4 linked regions of the Arabidopsis thaliana genome follow. The protein of the gene in region 3 interacts with the protein of the main gene of each other region in a pairwise test. Each region holds a gene or a part of one and is shown on either strand. Other genes may lie near its edges. The genes, in order: IBH1, AT3G06590, CIB1 and CRY1.

Region 1 (3,738 bases), on a different chromosome or scaffold from region 3:
TGTTTACGTACACGTGTATAATAATTGACAAATTAAAGTAGGACACTCGTATGAAATATAAGTATGACCAACTGCATAAATAAGACGTGTAGATAATCCTTCCAACGGAAAATGTGATTATAAAGAAAACAAGTAATCAGAGTCTTGTAATTTTTGTTAATAATGTTGTTGTGAGCGACCATTTGAATTCAATCCGACATAAATCATGAAATGTTAGAGTTATACAAAAAAAAAAATCTCTCTTACCTGAAAAAAGAGTTATACAAAACAAAAAAGGAGTTAAATTATATATATTCTACAAAATTCTTTAACCTATATAATGTCAAGTATTTTTAAGACTTATTCAAGTAACTCCGTGTTAAACAAAAAAAAATCATTTAATTAAATGATTCATAATTCTATAAATATATATTTTTAAAATTATTAGATTTATCATATATTTTCTCAAAAACATAAACAGTCGTATATGTATAGGAGATATATAAATACAGAATGTATATTTTATGATAGTTATAATTCCGCTATAATTTTCTTATAACTAATATGTTATAACTTTATATATATAATCCATCCATAGAAACATCATTGACGAATAACACAATCAAGAGGAACCAAGTAAATTGCATAGCTTAAAAGAAAAGAAGAAAGAAAATTCTCTTAGCATATGATAAGTAATAAATCCCCTTTTATCATATGACAAGGGCAAGTTACCAAGCCCTAATGTTTAAACCGGCCATAGCATATGATAAATAATAAATCCCCTTTTATCAAAATTCAAGAAAAGAAAAAGAAAAAAATCTTTCGTTACTTCGAGACTAATACATATCCACACATTTCATATATGTATCCTATCTTACACGTATGTATATATATAAGAATATATATATATATATATATATATATATACACATATATATTCGTTATGATTACCCCAATCCAATAGACTATGTATGTGTCGTATCTCTATATACATCGATCATTGATGATGATGTTGATGATTAATTGATGATCATTTGGGAGATAAGCCATCAACGAGACACTGCATGACCTTGACCTGCATACTAAGGCACTTGATGTAATGAGCCGTCTCTTCCATCAGCTTTGACGTCTCCATTCCTCCGCCTCCCGGAACAAGATTCCTCAGCCTCTCCGCCGCCTCCTCCACCACCGGAGCTCTCTGGTTACTCCTCCTCCGTTTTGATGATATCTTCCACTTCCTCCTTGAAAATCTTACGATCTTGTTGTCATCTTTGTCTGCTCTACGCAAGAGGGCTCTGCTCCATAGCCGGCTACTCCCTCCGGCTGCTCTGGCCATGGAAACGTACGCAGCCTTCTTGATCTTCCTCACGCGGTAGTTTTTTTGGTCCGGAGTATCAAAAGGGTTTTGTTTTCTGAGATTTGAGAGGGATTGGAGGAAGTGGAAGGCAAAAACGTCCTTTTCAGGGACATCTGTGTTTATGAGTTTGTCTGCAGAGGCCATTGTTTGGGTTTTTTAGAGAAGAGAACTTGAGTTGAGAACCTTTATAAAACTTTTTTTTTTTTGAGAATGACACAATATTAGGGTTAATATAAATGGAAAGGTGGAGAGAGAGAGAGAGATAGAGAGGAATAAATAATGTTTATTTTTCCTTGTACTTAACTTTTCTTTATGTTTTTTTATGTCACAAGACACACAACTATTCAAATTCTCTATAAAGTTTAAATTTAAACTATAGGTTCAACTATTTATAACTCATGTTCTAAAAAAAAAAAGATGTGTTAATAGCTTTGAAATATTGAATTTTGGAGCTTAATTGGTCCGTCAAAGTTACGTTGCGTAAAAATATGAGAATATGAAGTTATAAGTGGCAGTTTTCTTCAATGGTGAACAGCAAATAAATACAGTTCTATGTTTAACTTTGGGGGTTTACTAATATTAGTTCAAATTTTTTGTAGATTCGTCTGTTATGGTTTAGTGGTTTGACATCGATTGCTTACTGGTGGCTACTTAGATGTGTAAATATATCATTATGTGTTAGAATTTTAAAATGAAATGTGAATTGTATAACCCATGTATTTCGGAAAAGTATAATTTACACCTAGTGTTATAAAGTCTTGAATAAATAAATGGGCAATTAGTGGAAAACGATGTTTTGGAGCTTGAAGAAAAAAGTTGATGCCAATAGATTAACAGAACTTGGCTATTTTGGGTATATATATTTGACTATTTTGAAATTTGAAATATTAATGTATACTACACCCAAATACAATATATATAGCATTAATGCTCGTATACATCTTAGCTAAAACAAAATAATAATTCGGATGATGTTTAAGTACTAGACGCAAATTAATCAAGCTCGTTTGGTTCATAGCTTGGTATTAACGGAAAAAAGAGCAATTTAGAGCAGACATCAGATTATGGAATTAGATTCCAACCACACTATTATGTTTATTTGTTTGTTTTTATAAAAGGTTAATTTAGTGACGAATGCGTATGAATTCATTAACGTGAACAGCTAATAGAGACTATTATGATAAAATTAGGTAAGCTATATACATATATGTATGTATTTATGTTAACATTAGTTGACAACTAATGACGATTAAGATGGAATATGATCGATTGTGGAAAACATATAAGCTCATTTTCAAGGCAAAAGAAATAACAAAACCCAAAATATCAATTTAATTGATTCATTACTTGCTCGATATTTACTTCCACAAACAAAATTCAGCCAAAATCCAACTCTCGTGAAACGACTGATTGAGGATGTTTATTCGAAACTGAGTTTGAACTATACGTTAGTTTAGAAAGTAACACCATTGAACCTGAGAATAACTATGATTATTTCGACGATATAAAGTGTTAATAAACTTAATCAATTAGCCACTCGCATCATCAAGATAAAACGTGTTTAAAATTGATCAGATATATAACAAAGTATTCACCATGCAAGAGAGCAACAACAAAATATGAGATTATTCAATTGGCTTGACCAATAGATGACGTTACAATTTATATACACCAAATATTACTAACCAATTTAGAAAAGACAACACATGAAAATATAAAAGAAGAGAAGAGAGACTTGAGGAATACGATAAGTGTTTGGTTAAGGCTATAATTTAGCATTAGTCCCATCTCTTTTGTGTTAATCACTCTCTCCCCTACCGCTTTGCCGCCGGACGTATTTTTCACGCCATTTAATTCTTTTGTATAACATCATCATGATCATATTTATCTTTTTTCAAGATTCAGCTCCAAAATCCCTTAAATCTCACTGTTTTCTCTAAGGTTTCAAATTTCACATCTATCATAAAAATACGTTTAAAGATTAACAATTTCGGGTCAATAACAATTTACAAAATTGTTGATATTAGGAGTGAAACCAAATGAATAAGAAGGTGTTAATCATATAATAAGAACTAAAAAAGAGTTGAAGAAGTGGTAGAGTAGGTCCACTAATGGGCCAACCACCACATGAAGGCACATGGCTATGGCCTTTACCCACCTCCACTTTCCTTTCTCTCTTATCTTTATCTTTAATTTTTTTTTGTTCTAATTATTCAATTAATATTAACTACACCATTCGTTTTCTTTGATTCTCTTCTTAATTTAATAATAAGTCGTTGGGGGCGAATAAACTTTATCATACTAGTTGATTAAAATATCCCAACTAAAAATGTAAAACAAAAACAAAAGAATAAATGCTATTGGTCATTTAGTAATAATGATTTACAAAATGTTGAAAATCA
Region 2 (5,223 bases), on a different chromosome or scaffold from region 3:
AAAACGTTTCCTAATTCTTCTAACACTCTATGAATTCAGATAACACTAGATTAGATAAGTGTCCTAGTTTGAATTTAAATTTAATCGTATTTTACGTGTGTGAGAGTTATATCCTATATGTAAAAACTAAAAGTAATTTGAGCTATAAGATAATACTGAATGGATAAATAGTAAAAGTTTTCCGGTTAACCGTTGTTTTTAATTCCTGCTTAATTAGATTGAGTAACAAATATGCAAGTGTTAACGTGTAGCAACATGGAGGTATTACATACAATGTAGATAAAACTATATCTGAAAAAGATATTGATTTATGTGTAAATTAAAAATAATAAAAAATTTCTAAAAGATGATTAGAGGAATAATATATTACATTGTATATATTAGCCATAGGGTTTAGGGTTCAACTAGATTTTTAAGGTTACTCTTATCGTTTATTTATTTATTAATGATATATATATATATATATATATATATATATATATATATATTTATTTATTCACACAATTTAATAAGCAAACGTCTAAGTTGAAACCCTAAATTAAAATATCATTTCTCAAATCACTATAAAATGGAGTCTCTCCCAGAAGAAGTGGTTGTGAAGGAGATCTTGCCACGCGTGGCTCTTTCTTCACTCAAGCTTGTTCAACTTCAGCCTCGTATGCAAATCATTACATAATCTCTGCAACGACCCTCAAGTTCTCGAACACGTCTGCCTCGACGAAATCAAAACCGCAAACGATGACCTATAACTAAAGCTAGAGTTTTCTCAAGAGATGCAGAGAGAGCGGAAACACGGAAGCAGTGGCTCGTGAAGGAATTGTGAAGTGCTTTTACCTATTCAGTAATATTGTTGATGAAGAGAAAGGGATCGAATGTTTGCAAAAGCCGCGTCTAAAGGACTCAAAGCTGCCTCATATCTCTGTGGAGTGATCTCTTTGTGTCGCGGTGGGAAAGTTCCGCAAAAGAGTATCGAGATTTTCAAGTCTTCTTTTGTCGTGAAATCTTCGGCACTGAAGACTAGGAGAAACCTCCAGGAGTATCTGCAATGGATGGTTTCCAAATATAAAAATCATTTTTTGGGAATTAGGCTCCTTGGTTATAACTGTGTTCGACATGGACATAATTTTATCTGGGCAAGTTTCTCTAATAGTGTGTTGGCGAGTTTTAATCCAATCTTCTACAATGTTGCGGTTTATTTTCTCTAATAGTTTGTCCCTTTTGGCAATAATAATATAACTTATGAAATATGTGATGAAAAGAGTTGTCGTGCAAGTTAATAAGAGAAGGCTTAAAAAGAAACAAGAGGACAAAGGCATGGCCACTCCCATGTGCCTCCTCATACTTTTAAGGTCACTTCTCTCTATGTTTTAAATATTTTTTGCTTTTGTCGTCACTTGTCTCTTGTTGTCGCCTAGTCATACTCCAGTGTTCTTAAATCATATCCCTATCACAGAAATTCGTATATTAATTAAGCTAATGAATCAAACTCCTGTTAAGTCAATTTTAACTACAGGTTATTCAGTTTTGCTTCGTGATGAATATTGAAGGATATACAGTACGTGCAGAACTGCAGATTAGTGTTTGAGAAAACTTATTTAGTAACAGGGAATTATTAGCTAATTTAATCTTTTTTCTTCTTTTTTTCCTTTATATTTCTTGTGAAATAAGGAAAAGAAAAGAAAAAGAAGACAAACAACCTATAAGTATCAAAAATGGGATTCAAAGGAGGGGCAATAAAGCGAGTAGATGATTGAGTGACAGATCAATCTCATCAGTCATCATTCAATTCAATGAATTTGAATGTATCATTCCATTCATTCTCTAATGCATCATCACATGCTACCATAATCAAAACTAAAGTTAACCCATTATCTTCCTACATCTACTATAATGTATTTTAAAATTCTAAATGGGAAATTATTTTCTTTCCACTTTATTGCAGTACAAATCTATTTCATGTTGAAATTTCATATAGTACATAAGATGATATAGTACAAAGCCATATTGAATGAACTAAAAGTACATCAAAAGTTCCATATTGGTTTAGTTATCACATACTATGAGGTTAAAAGAGGAACCCATTTTCCCACTAACTCCAATAACGAATTCATCAATCTTATTTTTTTTTTGATCAACAACGAATTCATCAATCTAAATCAAATAATCCAACTACGATTTGAACCCTAATGGTAAAGACTTTATTAATCAATCATATACTTAATTTAGACTTGAGGATCGTAAAAATGGGAAGACTCGGTTCAAAATTTACTTTTACTTGTAGCAGAGAAGAATCAGCGGTTGGGAAGAGTAGTTACAGATTATAATCAAACCGAATCTTCTATATACACATAAGCTGTGAAAGATCGAGAGATGGTAGAATTAAAAAGACGATTTTAACCTCATCAAATCGGTGGAGGAGCTGAGCCGTAGGAGGAGAGAAGCTGAACTAAAGAGTTCATGGCTCTCACTTGCATCTCCAGAGCCTGAATATAATCAGTTGCTTCTTCTAGAATCACCGGTACGGATTGTTTACCGCAACCGGGAACTAACCGGCCTAGAACACGTACTTTCCGGTTAACATCCGGTATACTCTTCTTATTCAATCTCAACACCGACACTCTCCGTTTTCTCGATCTGTTGCTGCTGCTACTAACCACCGTAGTCATGGCCGGAATCGCCATCGTAGCTCGAGGACGTCTCTGTTTACGAAATTTCAGTTTGATCCGATTAGCTAAGATCGCTCTGCTCCAGAGTGTTCTTCCCCGAGCGGAAACGGCAAGAGCTCGATCGGCGGCTTCACGGACGGCCTTTCCTCGTTTCTGAGCCGTTGGAGATGATGATGTTGAGGCGGAAGAGTTGAGGCGGACTTGTTGGAGCGCTTGGAACAGTTTGGCTGAGTAGATCCGTTGTTGCTTCTCCGATCGCCATCGCGCGTGAATCTCACCGGAGACGGAAGATGCGCTTGAACGAGACGATGCGGCGGATGAAGCAGAGGATCTCTTCTTTCTCCGAACGAGATCTGAAGTAGTACTCGTCGGCGGTTCAATATCTGAGATCAGAGACGCCATAACCAAATAATTGGCTCTGATCTCCGCAGTCGTATTGAAAGAGCTACAGAATCCGAATTTATCTGAAGTTGAGCGGAAGAAAGTTATGAAATTGTGGAGAATAATGGAAGGGAGAAGAAGAGGAAGATATATAAAGGGAGAGAGGTATCAACTATCACGAGACGTAGCAGTTAACAAACGGCCCCGTTTTAGATGTAGCAGTTAATAAGCGGCGTCGTTTTGTCAATTTGTTTTTTAGTATTTGTTGTTTTAGCCAGATACGAAAGTGGCATTTGTAATGCATGATAAAGAGAATTCGTGAATACCACCAAGAAACAAATAATTTCATTCTCAACACTAGTGGAATTGATAAGTTATAATTAACTGGCTCTATAACCTCTAATGGTTTTGGAATAATGAGAGACAGAGACATCATTGTGACTTGAAGCAATGTTTATGAATTATGATTATACTTAAAAAGTTTTGTTCCACGTTGATTAGTTCACAATTATTTTTTTAAACTTACCCTCTTGACAGAGATTTTAGAAAGAAATTTATATACAAAATTTCTTACAATCACGAGTTTTCGATCTTTTGTAGACATAATCTAAATAGAGAGTAAAATACATAATAGAAATGCTACAAAGATCCTAATGTGGGTAGAGCATCCATAACGATAGTTTCCAATCAATTTAGGGTACAATCTTAATTACTAAATTAGCTTATTGATATCTAAAGATGTTTACGAAAAGAGAAAACAAACAAACTTGTATAAAGGCCGATACTTTGGTGGAATGGAGGAGGAAGGTAGATTCAAACGAAAGGATGACGTGTCATATTACTATTGGAGAAATCCATTTACGACTTATAGTGGTCGTTTAATGGACTGACAGGGCAAAAAGAGAGGGGCCAAAAACTCAAAACTTTGGATTTTGTATTCAGTGCAATGATTTCGTAAATATTGGAATTGTATTTAAAATACTACTTTACGCATAAAGTAATATACCAAACGAAATGCATGTGCGATGTAGGGTTAGTGGCACTGCCTCTCTTTACGGCTTTTTTTTCTTTCCCTGTAAAGAAAAGATCACTGAAATTAACTCCTGTATTTTATCAAAAAAAAGTTTTGTATGTGTATCTATCAATATGTATGAATAAAATTTCATTAAATTTTGTGTATATGTATAAGTAGATATAAGATTAATAGATTGTTGGGTAAAGTATAAGGGAGTGGCGTCATTTTATTCATATATCCTGCTGAAAAAAGGAGCTTCTGAACTTCTCCATTGGGTTAATTCATATATAAATAAAGCTAGCTACGTTCAAACTAATTTTCTAGAAAAGTTACTGTTAGTTTGATTTTTGTTTGTACTGTTCACTATGTTGAGTTTGATCAGCAGTTAAAATGGAAAATACCTATCTTAGTTTATGTTAGACATAAAAGTACCACAATGGTATATATACTGTATTAAGATGTTTTTAGGCGGGTGGAAAGGATGTTAGAAACAGAGCGCAATGCGCAATGCTTCATAGATAATAGTATTCATTTAACCTAAGGGCTAAGGGTTAATAATTGTGTCAGTAACGTGGCATATTCTCTGTACCTTAGAAAGTTATAAGCTAGAATGATTCCACATGACAAATTAATGATAAGAAACAACATATCCAATTATTCACTAAAGTGTCACTTACAATAAAATAGTTTATCTACTTCGAATTTAAGAATATATTTTCGATTTAGATACTTAAATTTTCTCAATTTATACTTTAGAATCAAGCAGAAAATTTGTTGGTGAAGAACAAAGCAACCTAATGAATTATCTGTTTTACGAACTGAGTCAAAGAAACCACTATTCGAATCTGCGATTTGCGTAATTCTCATGGGCTCTACTTCAACAACAACAACAAAAAAAACATGTATCACAAAGGTTGCTGGCTGTAATTGTTATCTTCCATTAATAGAAATAAATATATTTCGGATTGGAAGTTCAAATTTGTTACTATGAAAATTTACTACTGTAAATCATAATTCCAGCTATCTAAGGTTTTCAAATTTATTTGCAAATCATTATGTATCTCGGATGTAATGAGTTTTTTCTTATTATATTAATGAAAAAAGTTGATAAGGAAAGGAAAACTAACTATTAAGTATGATGAAGGTGGCACAGAGATTGCC
Region 3 (3,887 bases):
AGATATTGCAAAGAGAGAGACTTTGAGGAGGGTAACGCCGGCGTCGGAGAGAGATTTCAGCTTATCGGAGAGAGTGGTGTTTCTGATGAGAGCGAAAGTCGGGTGACCCGATTCGATGCTGAAACGGGTCAAATAGTTCCCTAATCTTCCTGTTGCTCCGATGATCAAAACTCTGCTCTTCTTCTTCTCCTCCTCCATTTATATATACTCTCCGTATAGAGAATTAGGATAGTTTAGTTCCAATGGGTTGGTCATAGGTTTTAATCTCTGACTCAGTTCTCTTACATTGTCGTCGTTTTGTCCGCCACGCTTAACAGGTGTTGTTTATTCAATTGCTTTAAATTTGGGATTAGTCCCGCTTTTTCAAAGTAACCAAAACATAGATTAGAAGATTGTTAGTGATAAGATGTAAAACATAACGTTAAACGACTGGTGTCTTGTTTCTTGATTTCATGGTCGCATGACTTGTGGCATTGTATACTAAAAAAAAAAATACTAATGGATGATCATTCACCACAAGAAGATGAGAACACACCTTGAATTAAAGACACAAGTCCACCGATAAGAAATATATTACTGGACTGGTTTGCAAATTATACACAATAATGTCTACACTCTTTGATACATCAACTAATGGGCGGGGGATCTCAAGTCAATAATCTAGTGGAATTAGTAAATAACAGCTACTGGTTTGCTCTCTCTTCCGATGAATAATTTGAATTAGGGAACATTGTTATGTTGTGGATTGGTTTCTTAATCAAACTCCTAAATTGCCATAGAGATTCTGCACATGAGAGTCCCACATCGAAGGAGCTTCGCCATTCTGTAACAATCAAAACATATTTAGTAAAAAATTATCATATCCAAAGTTAAACTAAAGGATAGATCATAATGAAAGAGTATTAAAAATATGACTTACGTTGAAGCATGACAATGGATCAGAACTGGTATTCACTTGCTGCATTGGATTGACATGAAGGTAACCGGAGTTAACCATCTCACTAGAATAACCAGAGTGAACCATCTCATGAGAATAACCGGAAAGAACCATTTCAGGAGATGGCACCACAGTCATTGGAGTTGAGGCAACCTGGTTTTGAATCCACATGGCGTATTTTAGCTCATCTATAAATAGCCTTTAAAGTTTTGTTTTTCATATAAGCATAAACAAATCAATGACTAACCTCTTTGGCAAAAATGTCATCCATATCAAAATCCGGCCTTGGATTCACAATTGCTAGTTTCATCGATAAGAACTGTTTTAAACAATATTTTGATAACAAATTAGGAAGGTAATGCAAAATTAGTCTTTAAAACATATTTTCTATAAATGGAAATAATTTTCAGACCTCGATTTGTCTCTGAAGAGACTGAACATAGTTAATGATTTCATCAAGCATCCCTGCTTTGCCTGTGATCTTGTCGCATCCAGGAACCAAATCTTGTAGAAACTTCATTCTCTCACTGATCTTTTCTCTTCTAACCTTCACAAATTTAATACTTTAATAATTAGTCTCAATGATTACACAAAAAACAAAGTTAATGAATTTTAGTTAATGAGGCTCTCTTACTCGTTCTGCTATGCTGTGACTATCAGTGGCTTGGCCTCGTCGTGCACGAACATGAATATAATCCGTTTTCTCCAATTCCTTCGTCACTTTAGATGAATCATTAGAGAAATTGTTCTCTTCTTTCTTGGCTTTGTGTTTCATCTTCTTGATGCTTTTTGTGCTCCCATTGTTTTGCTCTGTTATTTTCGACTTCTCTTCTTCTCCTTCTTCTACTAGGTCATCTCTGTTCATCGTCATCTTCTTCTTCTTCTCATTACAATCCTAAAAGCACACACAGAAGAAACAGATAAGCCAAATCTCAAAGTAAGATCTGTTTTCTTTTTCATTTATAGAACTTAAACTTAAGTTTTCTTTACACACGAACCTTAGTCTCTGTATCAAACTTCCGTTTCTTGAAATTTCCAGTCCCAAGCGTCGTTTCCGGCGAAATTGAGAGTCTTGAATCACCTTCCACCGTCGTCTCACCGTACATCATCGGAAGATTCAAACCGGCAGTCGAAAGATAGCTGTCCATCTCGCCGCCGGTAATCATTGAAGAATCGGCAAAGAAGCCGGCGAGAGGAGAATCAAAGGTGGGATTGAGGTACTTGAGGTGAGCCCTTTGGCGCTCTAGGACCGACATGTCAGGAAAATTGAGCAAAAGGTCACCTCCTATAGCTCCATTCATCGTTATCGTCTTCTTTGGATTCAGAAAACAAGTTGCTTGCAACGAGAGAGAGAGAGAGTGGAGAAAGAAACAGAGTAAAGGTGAGGGTAGAAGAGGAAACGATATTTATAACAAAAACCATCAGCTCTGTACTTAGTCCATATTCATCGCATCTAATAAGGTAGGCCCATATACAAATCTGGAAACTTTATATGTTTTGTGATAATTGATATTTGCGATGATTGAAAATTGAGAAAATAACTAAAAATAGTGAGTGACACAGAAAACTTATAAAACATTTATTACGTAATATATGCATGTATTATAGTGTAAATTGGATCTTGATTCACTAAGAAAGGATAAGCTTGGGATGTCTATGCGAATTGGAGCGTCTCTTCTTTAGGTTTCTTTCATTATAGGAGCACGTGAATGGTCACGTGGGAATGGTCTAGTTGTAACACAATGAAAAATAATTTTGTAGTTTACAAGCTAGTTATGATTATATGAATCAGATTGGTGTGTGCGCTAGATATTTCACCTAATTAAAATGGGGTTACAAAGAAAACACTTTACCTCATTTCAATAGCTCTGGTCTTAGTTTAGCTACGAAGCACTGTTCACATGAATTTATTACATCCTTCGGAATCTTGTTATTCAGATCGATCATCATCATGTGTCTGATCGCCATGCTGTATACATTGGCTTACTCTATCGTGATAGGCTAATACTGAGACGGCGCAAGAGAGGCTGCCACGTGATCGCCATGCTCTTTTTCGATGCAGAAGGCCCATCACATGAATTACTCACAAGTTAGTTTTAGTCTTAGATCACTTTCACCGATTTCGGTGAGCAAATATTTCGAAGAAAAGGACCTTCCATTAAAGTATATATGACATTGTTTTAGATTCTCAAATATTTTCATTTATCCGACTTTTTATGTTATTGGAAAACGCTTTATGTGATTGATATAGGGACATGAAATCTTCTCGATTCTATAATGAAAACCCAACTCTCTTTTATTTTGCTTAGTCCAGTTATATATTAACCTTTAAAGCAGATACATGGAGTTAGTAGATAAGGAAAGGGGAGGGTGTAAAGTTGTTAGAAACAAAGACATGGTCGTTGCCTTTTGATGTGATGAATTTGGACTAAGTCCATAGAAGATGATGATCAGCTATTTCCCTCCCTATCATACTATACATGCATACACTAAAAAAAGTAAAGCCACACACCTAATTTGTGGGTTCCCCATCACCTTGTACATATATGTTCATAAATTCATGTCGACATGTATGTAGATGTTGACATTTGATTCGGTGTGTTGTATTGGAGATAGTTATATTATTTATACAAAAGTATTTAAATACATCTATCCAATTTCTTTCCTTAAACTGGAGAATTGATCTGTGCACGTATATTTATCTATGTTTAATTAAGTGTTGTTACTAACTTACTAAAAGATATCTATATCAATTTGTATATGGGAGAGTTCTTAATTAGAATTAGAAATTGCTGTAAAAAAAATTAGAATTAGAAACATATCATCGACGTAGAAATTTCTGATGGAACAATAATGAGGGGAGATCCAATGGTCATGACTCATGAATCATGATCACATGATGGGAGCCTAATTCCTATATGATGGGTTATTCTCGATATATGCATGGGAA
Region 4 (6,089 bases), about 11 Mb from region 3:
ATTTATTATATCCATATATAACTTTACTGTCATTATGGTACTCTTCTATGTTAGATTGTATATATTATAATGAATCAATTACGGATTTGCCATTCTCTTAATTGTATTTATGAATTTTTCCTTTTTGAATAGTTTGTAAATTTTGCCCTTTTTGAGGTTACAAAAATGTGATTTAAGATGCGTTTTACTCGTTATATTTAGGTTTAGTCTTTGGTATAAGTATGTATTTTAAAAAAACGTAACGAGGTACATTTTTAAGTGTTAAAAATAATAAATCCGTAAGATTTTAGGAAAAATATCATTTTCACAAGATTTTTATAAAAAAGGCAAAATCAATAATAATCTCTATTATTTTTTGTACATACATATAATAAAATAATAAGCTCTTTCTAGCTATATTATGAATACTCCTACGAGCAATAAAATAATAAAAGGCACGTTATTTACACTCGAAAACAAGCTAATTTAGAGGTGGTCGAGAGCAGATATCATGATTGTTTTTTTTAATGTATGTAATCCGTTCATTTGTGTCATCATTATTCATTTTTATATTATTTATCCGCTTTGTTAAATATATTTTGTCTGATGTGAATTAATTGTTGAGCGGTAAACCAATCATGAAGTTATCTTTAAATTAATGTGTTATTGATAAAAAAAAAAGTAAATTAGTTGTAAATTTTTTTTTTCGTCAATTTGTTGTATACTTAATCTGATGAATATTTATGATTTTCAGAAATGTATGTTTGTATCTTCTAATTTTTACCCACAAAATTCAATGTCCTACGCATATGATGGAATTTAACCAAATACAAGTAGCTAGTTAGTGATTCTGATTTGTTATTTTTTTTTATGTAGGTCTAAGTTATAAATCAATTTTCTTCGAACCTAAAATATATTTTTAACCAGCTCTCAGTATCATGTTTAAAGCTATTAAAAAATTTAAGTAGACGATTCGACAACTACGCTCACCCTAAAAAAATAATCAGATGAAAAAAATCTAAATCTAAACTATCAAACATATTAAAAACAATTATGAAGACTATTCGACAACTACGCTCACTATAAAAATTAATCAGAAGAGAAAAATGTAGATCTAAACTATCAAACATATATGTGATGGAATTAAAATTGGGTAAAGCCGTAAAAGAGGTTTCATAATTTTGGATTAGTGATTTGGTAACTTAAATTGACTTGTCAAGGGAGTCTTAACTCTATCATGAATCAAGATAAACACTCTCCACACCAAAAACAATATATATATATATATATATATAGATAACATAAAAAGTCCTAAAATATGTTAAAAGGCAAGGAGGGCCAACCATATCCATCTCTCGCCCACTTTTGCTAATATGTCACTCTCTCTCATATCCTAACCTTCCAATAACATTTCAGAACCATCCTCGGTACATCATTTATATGATTTCTCTATTATCCTTAATAATCAACTTTAAAAAAATAAAAGAATAAAATTAAGATATCATTTGTTTTACCAGATAAACCGATCCGATTCAAACTAAACCATATTGATATTTATAATCCAAAAACCTCAAATCCAAAACTATACCAAATCATTTATTATATCATTTTATTTTATCTGAATATACCATTTTTCATAACACAGAAATTTTAAAAACCTAAACGAAAATCGAAACGAATCAGAACCGAAATCCGAATTGAACCATTTGATAATTAACCAATAATCGTCCCACTAAAATCCAAGTGTATAAAAAATCAGTTTAATATTTATATGTAGAATATGTTCTAGAGAATTATAGTATAAGATTCTACATTTTTTTTTTTTTTTTGAACAAAGAAAAAAGGAGAAATTTTAGGGAAAGGAGTAGAAATCTTGTGAGTCACAGTTGATTTGGTTCAACTGGATTGGGATAATATTTCAAGTGGAAAGAAATAAATAAAAGTTGTGGTGGAAAATTATTCCAATAAATCTCGTCGTGTGAATTGAATCATTATTCCTAGTGTCAATCTTCTTCACCTCTCTCTATCAACCTCCAATTTCTTCTTCTTCTTTTTTTTTAGATAACTTATTTTTATTTTATTTTTCTTTGATTTTTCACTTTAAGACAAAAATAATAATTTTATATTTCTACCAAAAATAAATAATAATTATAATTTAATAAGAGATAAATATTTTTTCAAACTGTAACCTAAACAATAAATAAATTAAAAGAGAAATTAATGCAAATATTGCTATATTTTTGGGTTATTACTTAGAGACTACTTTGTCCAAAATTAGGAAAAATCTTTTTGGGTGAATAATTCCCAAAAGTATAGTTGCATTTTGCCAGAGAGGCACTCAGAGAGAGAGAGAGATATTCGTAAAGATAAGCTTTTTTTTTTTTTTTGCCTTCTCATCAAAAATCTTTTTTTTTTTGTTGTCTTTCTTCTCGAGAGAGATAAGTGACCAAAGGGTTTCGATTTCTGGAAATAGTTTGAATAAAAAAGTAATTTTTATGTGATTATTGGCAAAGAAAAGTTTTAGTTTTTTTTAGTTTGTGAGAGATGTCTGGTTCTGTATCTGGTTGTGGTTCTGGTGGTTGTAGTATTGTATGGTTTAGAAGAGATCTTAGGGTTGAAGATAATCCAGCTTTAGCAGCAGCAGTAAGAGCTGGTCCAGTGATTGCTCTGTTTGTTTGGGCACCAGAAGAAGAAGGACACTATCATCCAGGTAGGGTTTCTAGGTGGTGGCTCAAGAACAGTTTGGCTCAGCTTGATTCTTCTCTTAGAAGTCTTGGTACTTGTCTTATCACCAAGAGATCTACTGATAGTGTTGCTTCTCTTCTTGATGTTGTTAAATCCACTGGTGCTTCTCAGATCTTCTTCAACCATTTGTATGGTCTGTTGTTCCTCTTCTCTTCTCTCTTTATCTTATCTTTGAATTTGCATGATAAAAAGATTTGATTTTTGTGATTGGAATCATCTTTTCTCTTATGGGTTATGTTTTGTTTGATGTATTTGTGGAATAAGATGATCTGGAAATGATAAAGTTTTGATCTTTTTCAGATCCATTGTCTTTGGTGCGTGATCACCGAGCTAAAGATGTTTTGACGGCGCAAGGCATAGCGGTTCGATCATTCAACGCAGACTTGCTTTATGAGCCATGGGAAGTGACTGATGAATTAGGCCGTCCTTTCTCTATGTTTGCTGCGTTTTGGGAGAGATGTCTTAGTATGCCTTATGACCCTGAGTCTCCTCTTCTTCCACCTAAGAAGATCATTTCAGGTTTGTTTCTTTGCCACTCTCTCTTGTGGGTTTTCGTTTTTTCCAAATCTGTATCATTCAATAATGTTTCTTTTATGTTGCAGGGGATGTGTCTAAATGTGTTGCGGATCCATTGGTGTTTGAGGATGACTCTGAGAAAGGAAGCAATGCACTTCTGGCTCGTGCTTGGTCTCCTGGATGGAGTAATGGTGATAAAGCTCTCACAACGTTTATAAACGGTCCATTGCTTGAATACTCTAAGAACCGCAGAAAAGCCGATAGTGCTACAACCTCGTTTCTTTCTCCACACTTGCATTTTGGGGAAGTGAGTGTGAGAAAAGTTTTTCATCTTGTTCGGATCAAACAGGTCGCGTGGGCAAACGAAGGAAACGAGGCCGGGGAAGAAAGCGTGAATCTTTTCCTGAAATCTATTGGTCTCAGGGAGTATTCTAGGTACATAAGTTTTAACCATCCATATTCCCATGAAAGACCACTTCTTGGCCATCTAAAGTTCTTCCCTTGGGCTGTGGATGAGAACTATTTCAAGGCATGGAGGCAAGGCCGGACTGGATATCCGTTGGTCGATGCCGGGATGAGAGAGTTATGGGCTACTGGTTGGTTGCATGATCGCATAAGAGTAGTTGTTTCAAGCTTCTTTGTTAAAGTGCTTCAATTACCATGGAGATGGGGGATGAAGTATTTCTGGGACACACTTCTTGATGCGGATTTAGAAAGCGATGCTCTTGGTTGGCAATACATTACCGGTACTCTCCCGGATAGCCGGGAGTTTGATCGCATAGATAACCCTCAGTTTGAAGGGTACAAGTTTGATCCAAATGGTGAATACGTAAGGCGATGGCTTCCTGAACTCTCTAGACTCCCGACAGACTGGATACATCATCCGTGGAACGCACCTGAGTCCGTTCTTCAAGCTGCTGGTATCGAGCTTGGATCAAACTATCCTCTACCAATTGTAGGATTAGACGAAGCAAAAGCACGGCTTCATGAAGCGCTTTCACAGATGTGGCAACTAGAAGCTGCTTCAAGAGCTGCAATAGAGAACGGATCCGAAGAAGGACTTGGAGATTCTGCTGAGGTAGAGGAAGCTCCTATAGAGTTCCCAAGGGACATTACAATGGAAGAGACTGAACCAACCAGACTCAACCCAAACAGGAGATATGAGGATCAGATGGTTCCAAGCATTACTTCTTCTTTGATCAGACCTGAAGAAGACGAAGAGTCGTCTCTTAATTTGAGAAATTCAGTAGGAGATAGCAGAGCAGAGGTTCCAAGGAACATGGTTAACACCAACCAAGCTCAGCAGCGGAGAGCAGAACCGGCTTCAAACCAAGTCACTGCTATGATTCCAGAATTTAATATCAGAATTGTTGCAGAGAGCACTGAAGACTCAACAGCGGAATCTTCCAGCAGCGGAAGGAGAGAAAGAAGCGGAGGCATAGTCCCCGAGTGGTCTCCAGGGTACTCAGAGCAGTTCCCTAGTGAAGAAAATGGTATTGGAGGAGGAAGTACAACGTCTAGCTACTTGCAGAATCACCATGAAATACTGAACTGGAGACGGCTTTCACAAACCGGGTATGTAACTCGCAAATCCGACTCTCTCAACAATAAGTTCACATAAAGATTCTAAACATTTTCAAATTGAAAGTCTCCAAATTTTCAGTAAGTTTCAATCTTCCTACACAATTCAAATAAATCGTCGATGCGCGTTGTGCTTGGCACACTTGTCTAGCCAAGTAGTATCAGTTTTAAATTGAATTTAGCTGAAAAGTTTTGAACTGTTTTCAAATCCAAGTGTTTGCATTTACAGTAGACCACAGTAAAAAAATTAGTGAAAGTTTCTATGTTTCACAGTTCAATTGGAATTTGGTACATTGGTCTAACCAAGTGGCATGAAATTTACTGTGGTATGTTTGGTTTTACAGGTAAAAAGTGCATTTGGAGGTGCAAAAGGAGAGGAACATCATAAGGGCTGTAACTCCGGTGAAATCTGGTTGGACTGTAAACCGAGTACATTTGGTACGGTTTAATGTAATTCCGGTTATGGGGCTGGAGAGAAACTATGTAGGAGTTTGTCTGATGTACATTTTTTATTTATCTCTGGTTCCATCATGTTATAATACACTGTATAGTAAGTAGTCTGTTGCTTGTGGTATTAGACCAGGTCTCATACTTGTTGGCTTTCAAAGTTTTGGTTATAAGTCAAACAGATGCCAATTCTTAATCTTATAAACATATATAGTTCACATTTATTTATGATAAATGACTTGTTAGTGTATATGAAACACGTACGTCTACTTCCATATAACGAGAATCCGAATAGGTATGTATACTGATAGTAGCCTTCGACGTCACGAGCTTCCCACAAAATCTCGTGCTGATTAGAAACTAGACAAGACCACGATCTCAGTTATAATCTCTGCTGGGCCTAATTCGCGTCTGAAAAAACGTGTCTCACGAAACTGTGAATAACTTAATGAGCTTAAATCCAAAACAACTTCTATAAAATGGAAAACGACGATGAAAGACTTCGAAATAACTCTACCAAATTTCGTTACCTTTGACAACGATTTGATATGTTGAAACTGTTTCTTCCCCAATCCTAACGATTTTGATCCTTCTCCTTCTCTCTCTTTTTCTCTTTTACAGAACGAAAAATGACTAACCAAAGCTCTAATTCGAGTTTCCTTCTTTTATAGGTACACTCTAGGGTTTCCATTAACCCAACCGATTAAACCGGGTGATTTAAACACAAACCATAACCGATTTTCCGGTTTACGGGCTTTACACAAGAACTATTCCTTAATGATCTCTTATGATCCATCCCAAACCGAATCTCTATCGGGAAA

Evidence for each region.
Region 1: the proteins of CIB1 (region 3) and IBH1 interact in binary tests that used the Arabidopsis thaliana proteins (3 or more experiments, as listed by UniProt).
Region 2: the proteins of CIB1 (region 3) and AT3G06590 interact in binary tests that used the Arabidopsis thaliana proteins (3 or more experiments, as listed by UniProt).
Region 4: the proteins of CIB1 (region 3) and CRY1 interact in a two-hybrid assay, tested with the Arabidopsis thaliana proteins (one study listed by BioGRID).

What each region holds. Positions count from the first base shown.
Region 1 is NC_003071.7:17,906,989-17,910,726, reverse strand, and holds IBH1 (ILI1 binding bHLH 1), read right to left. Parts: upstream 1,721-3,738; 5' UTR 1,481-1,720; coding exon 1,010-1,480; 3' UTR 517-1,009; downstream 1-516.
Region 2 is NC_003074.8:2,052,245-2,057,467, forward strand, and holds AT3G06590 (basic helix-loop-helix (bHLH) DNA-binding superfamily protein), read right to left. Parts: upstream 3,423-5,223; 5' UTR 3,069-3,422; coding exon 2,403-3,068; 3' UTR 2,399-2,402; exon of another isoform or gene 1,445-2,398; 3' UTR 835-1,444; exon of another isoform or gene 756-834; 3' UTR 503-755; downstream 1-502. UniProt on the Arabidopsis thaliana protein: bHLH transcription factor that binds DNA on specific sequence 5'-CANNTG-3' in target gene promoters. Negatively regulates brassinosteroid signaling.
Region 3 is NC_003075.7:16,496,817-16,500,703, reverse strand, and holds CIB1 (cryptochrome-interacting basic-helix-loop-helix 1), read right to left. Parts: upstream 2,314-3,887; 5' UTR 2,239-2,313; coding exon 1,936-2,238; intron 1,833-1,935; coding exon 1,572-1,832; intron 1,485-1,571; coding exon 1,350-1,484; intron 1,257-1,349; coding exon 1,185-1,256; intron 1,091-1,184; coding exon 920-1,090; intron 824-919; coding exon 758-823; 3' UTR 530-757; downstream 1-529. Other genes in the region: AT4G34540 (NmrA-like negative transcriptional regulator family protein), read right to left, coding at 22-198. UniProt on the Arabidopsis thaliana protein: Transcription factor that binds DNA to G box 5'-CACGTG-3' and, to a lower extent, to E-box 5'-CANNTG-3' in vitro. Binds to chromatin DNA of the FT gene and promotes its expression, and thus triggers flowering in response to blue light.
Region 4 is NC_003075.7:5,721,737-5,727,825, forward strand, and holds CRY1 (cryptochrome 1), read left to right. Parts: upstream 1-1,914; 5' UTR 1,915-2,523; coding exon 2,524-2,857; intron 2,858-3,024; coding exon 3,025-3,243; intron 3,244-3,326; coding exon 3,327-4,815; intron 4,816-5,165; coding exon 5,166-5,169; 3' UTR 5,170-5,532; downstream 5,533-6,089.